Linked DNA regions of Danio rerio. The protein of the gene in region 3 binds, or shares a complex with, the protein of the main gene of each other region. Links are inferred from orthologs where the notes say so. Each region holds a gene or a part of one and is shown on either strand. Other genes may lie near its edges.

Region 1 (3,393 bases), on a different chromosome or scaffold from region 3:
AAGAGGAAAGCCTTCATCACTAGCACACGGCAGACAGTCAGGGTGAGCTGATCTGACCGACTGAAAGCACATTTACAACTAATGTTTTAGCATCCACAGTAAAGCCTCATGTTTTAAGTCAAAATAAAGAACAGGTTATATTTTTATTATGACGTCTAAGCCTATGATAAAAACTAAAATGTACTTTTCATTTAAAAATCTTGGTATGGATTTGGATTTTAAATTTGAATGGACATAAAGGTCAACGGTCAAACCCAAAATAAATGTTTCTGTGTCTATGAAAGCCTGTAGATTCATTTTAACTCTACAGACGTAGAATGTTTTGGTTGGAAAAATCTCATTTGACAATTATATATACTTATAATATACAATCATAATTTTAATGACCTCATCTGGCGACATGAACTGCAAATATATATACATTGCTATTATCAGATGCCCTCTTGATGACTGTTTTCTCAATGTTTTTTTTTTCTTTTGGCGTTTATTTTGTTGTTCGTATTCCTTTCATGTATGTGAAGAATGAATTCAATCTAAGAATAAATAATTTTTTAATTAAAAGTTATTGACTGCAGTTCACTTATTAAGAATAGCAGTTTTCAAAGCAGGATATATTCTGATAAAAATGCTGGAAATAAAGTGATCGTGAAGTTTATCATTGCTATTAGTCATGATTGTGGGTTGATTTAAAAAAATAAAATAAAATAAAAAACATTTAGAATAAAAAAAAAAACATCATCATGGTGTTTGTCCTTAATATTATAGGCCTGGACACTATGGAGTTATTTTGTTTCTTTATTATTCAATCAAAAATATTTAGTTTTAGGGAAAAATTAAATACACAGTGATTAAAAAATAAAAGTAAATAAACATTTTAAACAAGAACGTTAATAAACAATAAACAAGAAAAGATTCTAGATGTGCAATACATGACAGCAGATCAGAGAGCACAATGAATAAGTGTGCAATGGAAAGTGTGGTAACTGCATAATAAGTCAATAGTGTATGTTTTTCAATCCAAAATATTTTATCATCATTTACAAGTTTTTTAATTAAACGTTTTTAATTTATTTGCAATCTTTTACTTTTTTATTGGTGTATTACATTATTCCCTAAAACTAAATATTTTGATTGAATAATAAAGAAACAAAAATAAGTCCATAGTACACCGGCATTTATAATAGATTAATTTATTTTGCAGGAGATGAAAGACCACATGACCAGTCCGATGGCCATTACAGTGCCTGAGAAGAAAAATCGACAGGTTTGATATTAAAACCGGATTTAGCTCTGACCGTTTTTGTTGTATTTTTAAATTGACAATTTATGTTCCCTTATCAGACTTTAATGGGCGAAGGTGGATCCCGGGGCCCAATCTGGCAACCGAGTGGTGAAAAGTACACTAGACTTGACAATGAGCTGCAGACGGCAAATTCACAGTTCATTGAAGAACAACAGACGCAGCAACAGGTACTCAATAAAGCGGTTCACAACACTATAAACTGGTTATTAGTGCACAATTAGCATTTTTGGCAATATTGATGAGCATTTATCAAGAGAGTAAACTGTTTGTAATTGTGTGTTCACATGGCAGCTCATAGCAGAAAAGCAGGATGAGCATTTGGAGTTGGTGTCAGGAACTATTGGTGTATTGAAGAACATGTCTCAGAGAATCGGACAGGAGCTGGATGAGCAAGCTGTGTGAGTTATATTAATATTGATGAAGCAGGAATTTATATATTAATATATAATCTTATTTGAAATATTGTTAAAATTATATTTGTATATTATATATAAATGAAAAATGATTTCTAAAGAACAGTGTTTAATGTAACTGTGATATGTAAAGTATTACATACTCTTCACAGTATATATGGATAAATAAATAAATAAATATATATAGTATTTTTATTTATAATGTTTAGTGTGTGTGTGTGTATCTCCCTCTCTCTCTATTTATATATACTTTTATTTAGGAATTAAACATTACATTTCTATGGTTTACAAAATATGCAATATTTGAGAAAATCTAGTATATAAAAATTTTTGATAGGTCATTTTTATCACATTTTTTTATTTTTACTTGTATATTGTTTAAAATAGTAAATGTTTATTTCAATAATTCATATAAACGATTTAATATATAGAATTTCGCAGATCTTTTTAGCTCACCAAGTCTTTTTGATTTTATGTGAATATGTAAAATGTATTTATTGTTTTTATATTATATTTTATATTTTAGTAATGTTATTGTATTATATGCAAATGTTTATATGATTTATTTACAATAACCAAACAAGTGGATCTAATTGGCTAAAAATAAAAGTTAAAAAACATTTTTTATTTTATGATTTAGGTTTTTAGTTATCATTCTCCATTAATCCAAAGATTTATTTATTTTTTTTACAAAATATTTTATGCTGAAATAGCAACAAAAAATTTCTGCATATTCTGTAAAAAGCAAAAATGACTTGAATATAATCTTATATAAAATATATGCTGTGTAAAAATGACTTATACTTCATTTATATAGCAGAGCTATAGTAATGATATTTTAGACTTTACATGAATACAGTAAACTATTCTTGTTGTTAAAAACCTGAACACAACCTTTTAAAATGAACAAAACTGAGCTGTTCTGGCTGAACCCTGACAGATTTGTCTAGTCATTGCGGTTGAGTTAACAGACCTTTTCTTGAATGGACTGTGTGTCTGGACTGTTTTCAGAATGCTGGATGACTTTTCACATGAGATGGACAGCACTCAATCCAGACTGGACAACGTCATGAAGAAACTGGCTAAAGTTTCTCACATGACCAGCGGTGAGTAATACAGCACATACGCTTCATTTCACTCTTGCATGGTTAATACTGCACTTCAAATCATTCTCAAAATACATTCAGAAGTCATTGAGCTGAAACATCAGATTTTCATTTTTGACATCCTGTCTGACACACTATTTCACTTTTTTCTAAAATGTGACCCACAGTACTAGTCACTTATACATCATCTGAAAGCAGAGTAAATGCGTTTTGAATTGCTATATGCAAGGCTTGAAATGATCTTTTTTGATCACCGGCCACTGTGGCTAGTAGTTTTCCAACATTATTAGCCACTCTGCATATTCACTAGCCAAAATTTTGATGTTGCGAAAATAAATTTTATATGCATAAAATACTATTTAAATTTTAGACTATGTCCCCATGCCTCCTCATTCATTTCAGTTTTTGTGTGTCGTGTATGAGCTTGCTCAATGAGCATGATCAAAAGGGTCATGGTTTCTTAGTGTTATATTGCAATTAGTTTTTATTTCAGATGACTTTTCAGAGCTCAGAAATAAGGATTTACCAAATTTAACAATTATTATAATTATTTGGTAGCCACAAATTTTAA
Region 2 (3,662 bases), on a different chromosome or scaffold from region 3:
AACTTTAATTTTATTTCAGCTATATATTTTATAAAAGCAAATTAATTAAACTAAAAAGTAACTCAAATAATATTACTTAATTTTTTTAAGTAATGTGTTACTTTACTTGTTACTTAGAAAAATAATATTGTTACATAACTTAATTATAATGCGTTAATTATAATGTGTTACCCCCAACACTGACTGTCAGGATGTTTGTGTGCTTTTTTATACAGTTTCTATTTTAATTTGCAGTTTAAATTGACATGCAAAGTAAAAGTATTAATGGCAGATTTCCTTACAAGCAAATATTAATCCGACACCAAACATAAAAGCAGACACTATAACATCATCACCAGTGACTAAATCTCCAAAAGAAAGATCATCAGGGAATTGTAGCTCTGACAGGTACATGAAATTACTGAAAAACTGCTGCGAGTTAAGTATATTGAAGTATCGCAAGTGCTGAGTTTGCGATCATATCTCTGTTTTGTTCTGTTGTGATCCAAAATTCATAGCTTAAAACAAATGGAAATATGACTGGATTGTGCTGCTTTTACGTCCTCCCACACATCTTGATCCATGCTTGGCATTTCTCCCCTTGGGTTTTAAGTTTTGAAAAGGGAATAAAAAATCTACCACCTCATTCAAACTTTTAGGATACCGGTTATGCTAAACACACGGCCCTCCCACGCCTAGCTACGGTTGCTAAGCCATGATTATGGTGTGTGATAGTTTTTGATTGTAGCTTAGGGTCAGTAACAACAACAAATCAACAAATTATCAGTGATTATTACTGCTTTTAAATTTTACTAGATTTATTTATTTATGTTGTAACCTCAAATTATAACCCATCCCCCCCCCCCGTTCTCTGATGCATATTTATTTTGCTATTTAATTATTTTTTTAAATTTGGTAACTTTATTTTTGTTGTGATTTTTTTTCTGATTAGGTGTGTTGTCACATCAGATCATTATCTAATTTTTGCTCCTTCTTATGTATCTTCCTTCGTCATACCAATCACTAGCATGTCCTTAATCCGCACATTTCCTGTTGTCTTTCCCTTCACCTCCTGCCTGGTGGATCCATTCTCAACTATGTTTTTGTTCTAACCAGGCTAGGCTGCATTTTTTCCCCAAAAATACATTAACAGTAATAAAAATGTTTCTTCCAAAATATTTACATTTTTCTTGCAAATATATTATGAAGTTCTGTAAAAAATCTGAATTTTTATCAGCTATTACTCCAGCCGGGTACATAATCTTTAAGTAATTCAAATAAGCTGATTGGCCCCCTCAAGAAAAACTTTCTATTATTTAACGCTGAAAACAGTTTTATCACTTTTCAGCAAATATACATTAAATTGAAATTTTGTAATGAAATTACAAATGTTCTGTTTGTCAAAGAATCCTAATAAAACATCTAAAATTATAAATCATAATTAATGCAATCCACTAATCCACTGTTTAAGTGAGACCATAATGTTAATTATTTGCTGCCCTGTTACAAAACTAAAGTTAAACAAGAGAAGCCTACTGTAATAGAGATATTGCGATTTGGTCTGAGGACTGTAAAGAGAGACTGAAAGGCGTTATGATGATACAGATTGGGACATCTTTTTTGATAATTGTGCAAATGTGAATGAGATAACAGAAACAATAACATCTTATGTTATTTTTCTGTGAGAATAATGTTGTACAACTAAAACTGTTAAAATATACCCTAATAACTAGGTTTGGGTCTTGCATGAAATTACAAATGTATAAGTAAGAAAAGGGCTGCTTTTGCACAAGGTAATATGACGCTTACTGAAGAGGAAAAAAATGAACTCATATTGATTATTTTAAAAATCCAGAGCACAATATAGAGAATGGAGAAACACTTTGTCACTGGTGATGCTCGTAAAGCATGGAGCAGTCTAAATAGTATGATAGGCAGAGAGACACTGAAGCAACACTGCTTATATAGAATATCTGTCATCCAGAAATTAATCAAATATTTTTTTTTATAGTAGATTTGATAAAAGCACACATGCAGGTAGATTTGACGGAGTGGTTAGCCATGTTAAGATTATTATTTCTCTTACAGAAGTGGAGATATAACTTGTTGTCATTCACATGTTATTAAGCACCTGACCTGAATGGTCTCAAAGGACAGGCAATAGCAGGGTGCATTTACCAATAGAAAGAGGTTTTCACATTAGATTATTAATAGATTATTTCCGGTCTTGCTTGATGCACATACAGTCAACACATACCACAGTTTACTGAGGTAAAAACTAAAGTATACTAAAGCCTTTATCCCTATAGTTAAACTATAGTCATTTACATAGAGTTGAAATTACCTTTAAATATAACATAATACACTTTACTGTAGCATGGTTCAAAAAGGCCATAGTATTTACCAGAAAAAAATTTATTTTTATTTTATTTCATGTAGGTAAGAATCACATCACACCAGAGACTGGAATATGGCTGGAATGGCTGCTTTGCATAACAAGAAAACATAACAATTAAATTAATAAAAATAGTTTAAAACTGTTATATTAACTAATTCATTTTGAAAATATTATTGTTTCTACTCTTATGACTGATAAAATGAATGCAGCTTTGATCAGTGGAAGGGATCGATTTCAAAGTGATTTACACAATGTGTTCTGTTCATAAAGAAATGAATGCATGTGTCATGGTGTATAAATTGCATGTAATTTTGTTTTATCTTTTTAGATCACACGTCGGTATGCTGAATTCTCCTCTGCTATTGTTAGCATAAATCAAACATTTCCTAATGAGAGGACCAACACACTTCTTGGGCAGTTGCAGGTGAGCAAAAAAGCAATGCTCTGCCCTTAAAAGGTAAAGTAGCGCATGTTGAAAACTGTTTAATATGGATCTAATTTTCAGATTGAGGTGGAGAACTTTGTGCTGAAAATGGCGGCTGAGTTTCCCTCTAGACGAGACCAGCTAATTTTCCTGATAAACAACTATGACATGATGCTCAGCGTGCTTATGGTAATGTTTCTTACAAATCACGCCACACCATTTATTAAACGTTCTGTAGTTCTGTAGGTTATAATACTATGTTTATGTATGTGTTTATGAAGGAGAGAGCAGCTGATGACAGTAAAGAGGTTGAGAGCTTTCAGCAGCTTTTGCTGGCGAGAACACAGGTACATCATGGGGTACTGAGTATCAGCTCATATTGGACCTGTCTTGTGGAACTGAAATGTGTAATGTGCATAACAATTGTGTATTGGTGTGTTATAGGAATTTATAGAGGAGATTCTTTCTCCTCCATTTGGAGGTATGATTGCGTTTGTGAAGGAGAGTGAGGCACTAATGGAGAAAGGGCAGCTTGACAAACTCAAAAATGATGAAGGTCAGAGCTGTTTTCATTAAGATTTCAATTTCATGTCATTCCAAACCATTAAGGCTTCTGTTCATCTAGGGCTGGGCGATAATTCGATATCGATAATTATCACAATATAAAATTTTTCGATATGACGATATTGACAGTTTGATAATTGCTCGATAATATTTACGCACTATGCGTAACATTGCGCAAGCATTTTGCAGCCTGCCCTTCCGGATGCTGCACGCCGTACAAGTTTACAGCCATACATTGTTAGTTGTACTTAAAGGAGTAAGAAAAAAGGGTAAAAAAGGTCAGAGTCACAAATATTA
Region 3 (3,662 bases):
AGCCTAAGCAAAGACAAAAATCCACCAACATTTTAGTCAAACTGAGGGTGAGTAAATGAACAGCAATTAGATTCAATGAGCTATTTAAAGTGAACGACAGAGTTTTAATTATGCTTGGAAAAATTTAGTTTTTTTGGAATATTTCTGAATAATTCAAAGTAATTGAATTAAATAATTACAAAGTTTTACACAGAAAGTTTGTCTTCAAATGAACATTATATAAGATTGTGATGTTAAGTCAGCAATATTTGTGAAGTGACAGTGCACCTGGGAGTGTAGCTTGGTGCGTAGCGGATCTGCTGTCTTGAGCTGCTGTACACAGAGAAGGTGCGTTTGCTGGAGTCACTGCTGTGGGCTTTCCTTACTCCCTCTTCATAAAGCAATCCCACCTATTGAACAGAAAAATAAAAAACATGGTGTATTATGGCTTATAAATGTGCATTCTCTGCACACATTTAATATTTGAATTAAGGAACAGATATTAAGTCCATCACCTGTACATCAATAGAAGTGGTATCTTCCACCACCCTCTTCATTACAGCCCGAACATTTCTAGGTTCAATAGTGTTCACCCAGTCTCTCGTTTCCACGCTCTTCCTCAGCATCTGACTGATGATTAATCCCTGAACCTGGATCAAAACCACACCAGGTCAACAAAAACATCATCAATTATGGTAAAAATGTTGTAATCCCAATAATTAATGGCCCATATGACTAAAACACAATATATGAGTGATTTTCATATATATATATATATATATATATATATATATATATATATATATATATATACAGTTGAAGCCAGAATTATTAGCCCCCCCCTGAATTATTAGCCCGTTTATTTTTTCCCCATTTTCTGTTTAACAGAGAGATTTTTTTTCTACACATTTCTAAACATAATAGTTTTAATAACTCATTTCTAATAACAGATTTATTTTATCTTAGCCATGATGACAGTAAATAATTTTTGACAAGATATTTTTCAAGACACTTCTGTACAGCTTAAAGTGACATTTAAAGGCTTCACTAGGTTAATTAGCTTAACTAGGCAGGTTAGGATAATTAGGCAAGTCATTGTATAACGATGGTTTGTTCTGTAGACTATCAAGAAAAAATATAGCTTAAAGGGGCTAATAACTTTGTCCCTTAAATGGTGTTTATAAAATTAAAAACTGCTTTTATTTTAACCGAAATAAAACAAATAAGACTTTCTCCAAAAGAAAAAGTATTATCAGACATGCTGTGAAATTTCTTTGCTCTGTTAAACGTCATTTGGAAAAAATAAAAAAAAAGAAGAAAAAAAAATATCGAAGGGGGCTAATAATTCTACACACGCATGTACGCACACGCACACACACACACACACACACACAGTTGAAGTCCAAACTATTTGCAATTATAAGACAAATACAGTAGAATAAAAAAATAAAATCTCAGCTTTTTTATGCAATTCTAAAGTATTCCGTTAAGAGTAATGCAATGGTTTTTTATGCCATGTCAGCAACCAAGGCTATTTTCATGCAAGAACATTTCAATAATAAATATGCAATTAAAATCAAAATAAGATTTTTAGTGCTGATACATGATAAAAATTCTACAATTTTTCCTGATGCCACTTCACTAAAAATGTACAAAACCCTTTAACTGCCCCAGCAAGAAAAAAGATGTTTGGATGGCATTTCTTAACTCTTAATGTTACTAGTTAACAAACTCAATGCATTTTTTCAACACATCCCATAATTTCTAAAATATCAGCCTCTACCAAATGGTTTATATGTCGGTTTATAGTAAAAGGTCCAAAATTAATATACAGTTGAAGTCAGATTTATTACAAATTTATTATTAAAAAAAAAAAAAACTTGGTGACAACTTTATTATTTTAAAGGCAAGGTTGACATTTGCATGGAATTTCTCAATCCAAACATCGAGTGTCTAAAAACTGAGATTTCAGGTTGTATTTCATACAATTTATAATTTTCAATGCATCCCACTCCTCTTGCCACTTATTTAAAATGTTTTTTAGTTTCTTTATACATAATCATTGAAGGCAGAAATCGAAACAGTTTGTTGATTACTTGCACAGCCCAAAATTATTGACTCATGACATCTGAATCTATTCTCTTATTTACCTTCACATAGTGGTTCAGTAATTTCTGAGCAGCTTCTCTGGCCTCTGCACAAAGTGCTGTAACTGGGGTGACTGGAGTGTGGTGCTGTTTAAAAAGAAAACAGCAGCATGATTATATGCATTTAGAGTTTGATTTATCCTGAATATAACAGATATGGGATACCTGTACAAGAAACTGTTCATCTGTGAGCGTGAGGATGTAGGAGATGGTGGAGGTCTCGTAGTCCAGACAGAGACGAGAGAGCAGCAGGAGGAGAGCAGGAGGTGTGGATCCTCCTCTGTCGCCTGCGCTCTCACAATACTGCCGAGAAGACTGGCAGATGAACTTAATAAAGCTCACCACCAGACCCTCACGAACACCCTGACTGCAAAACTCACCCTGAGAAAACATAGGAGACTGGTATTAGACAAAAAACATGGCTATGGTTGAACTTGTCTCATTATCCATCATTTTAAAATATAAAATTAGTTTTTTTATGCAATTGAAATGGAGAAACGCTTGCTGACATTTGTGGTTCTTGCTATACCAGAAATGGCCAATGGTCATGTAAAAAATAAATTAACAATATAGTAAATGAAGGCGAGGCAGTGGCGCGGTATTTAGTGCTGTCGCCACACAGCAAGAAGGTCGCTGGGTCGAACCTCGGCTCCGTTGGTGTTTCTGTGAGGAGTTTGCATGTTCTCCCTGCCTTCGCGTGGGTTTCCGCCGGGTGCTCCGGTTTCCCCCACCGTCCAAATACATGCTGTACAGGTGAATTGGGTAGGCTAAATTGGCCGTAGTGTATGAGTGTGTGAATGTGAGTGTGGATGTTTCCCAGAGATGGGTTGCGGCTGGAAGGGCATCCACTGCGTAAAAACTTGCTGGATAAATTGGCGGTTTATTCCGCTGTGGCGACCCCGGATTAATAAAGGGACTAAGCCGACAAGAAAATGAATGAATGAATGAATATAGTAAATGAAAGAAAAACAGAAATAAAGTCTACAAAACAGAAACGAATAAATATTCATTGCTAATTTTTAAACATAAGTCCGAAAATCTTCTTAATATATTAAAAGTAATTGTCTAAATATTACTAGCCAGCTGGGAAAGGCATAAATAAAAAAAGTGAATAAATAAAGTTTAATGCTCTCATACGAATAAACTCTAGATTATGTAAAACTAACTATGTCTGAGAATTCTCTTATAAGCAACAGATGAAGACGGCCCTAAGTATTATTACTCAAATGCAATATTAATTTAAATAAAAACAATCTGCATATGATTAAAAACTGTTAAGCTGTGTCCGAAATTGCCTACTACTCGAGTAGGGACTACATTTAAATTTGAATTTACCACACGACCATTAGAAAAGTATGTATTATATAGTATGAATGTGAGAAGTGTCAATGGAACTCGGATGTACTACATCCCCCATTTGTCATTATCACATGACCTACTCGCATCATTTGTGTCACTTCACTCCTATTCATGAATTCTCTCATGTAGCATCATGGGATAGCGTAGTGTCCATTGAATGCACACTTCAGAATCTTG

The links.
Region 1: the proteins of vps51 (region 3) and stx6 are in contact, whole or in part, in a crystal structure (PDB 4J2C), measured with the Homo sapiens proteins. The link is inferred for Danio rerio from reciprocal best matches to the Homo sapiens genes VPS51 and STX6. Residues at the interface, in NP_037397.2 of Homo sapiens: Ala33, His34, Met36, Leu37, Leu39, Tyr40, Tyr41, Gly42, Leu43; in NP_005810.1 of Homo sapiens: Met3, Glu4, Asp5, Pro6, Phe7, Val9, Val10, Glu13, Trp59, Asp60, Asp63, Leu64, Glu66, Thr67, Ile70, Val71, Phe78, Arg88.
Region 2: vps51 (region 3) and vps52 share a complex: the UniProt entries of both Homo sapiens proteins name them as parts of the endosome-associated retrograde protein (EARP) complex. The link is inferred for Danio rerio from reciprocal best matches to the Homo sapiens genes VPS51 and VPS52.

The regions. Positions count from the first base shown.
Region 1 is NC_133197.1:16,192,601-16,195,993, reverse strand, and holds part of stx6 (syntaxin-6), read left to right. Parts: coding exon 1-42; intron 43-1,201; coding exon 1,202-1,264; intron 1,265-1,341; coding exon 1,342-1,470; intron 1,471-1,594; coding exon 1,595-1,701; intron 1,702-2,727; coding exon 2,728-2,822; intron 2,823-3,393. UniProt on the Homo sapiens protein: SNARE promoting movement of transport vesicles to target membranes. Targets endosomes to the trans-Golgi network, and may therefore function in retrograde trafficking.
Region 2 is NC_133194.1:20,892,865-20,896,526, forward strand, and holds part of vps52 (vacuolar protein sorting-associated protein 52 homolog), read left to right. Parts: intron 1-2,705; coding exon 2,706-2,801; intron 2,802-2,882; coding exon 2,883-2,990; intron 2,991-3,082; coding exon 3,083-3,148; intron 3,149-3,245; coding exon 3,246-3,357; intron 3,358-3,662. UniProt on the Homo sapiens protein: Acts as a component of the GARP complex that is involved in retrograde transport from early and late endosomes to the trans-Golgi network (TGN).
Region 3 is NC_133185.1:31,886,140-31,889,801, reverse strand, and holds part of vps51 (vacuolar protein sorting-associated protein 51 homolog), read right to left. Parts: intron 2,508-3,662; coding exon 2,292-2,507; intron 2,214-2,291; coding exon 2,130-2,213; intron 630-2,129; coding exon 495-629; intron 390-494; coding exon 268-389; intron 1-267. UniProt on the Homo sapiens protein: Acts as a component of the GARP complex that is involved in retrograde transport from early and late endosomes to the trans-Golgi network (TGN).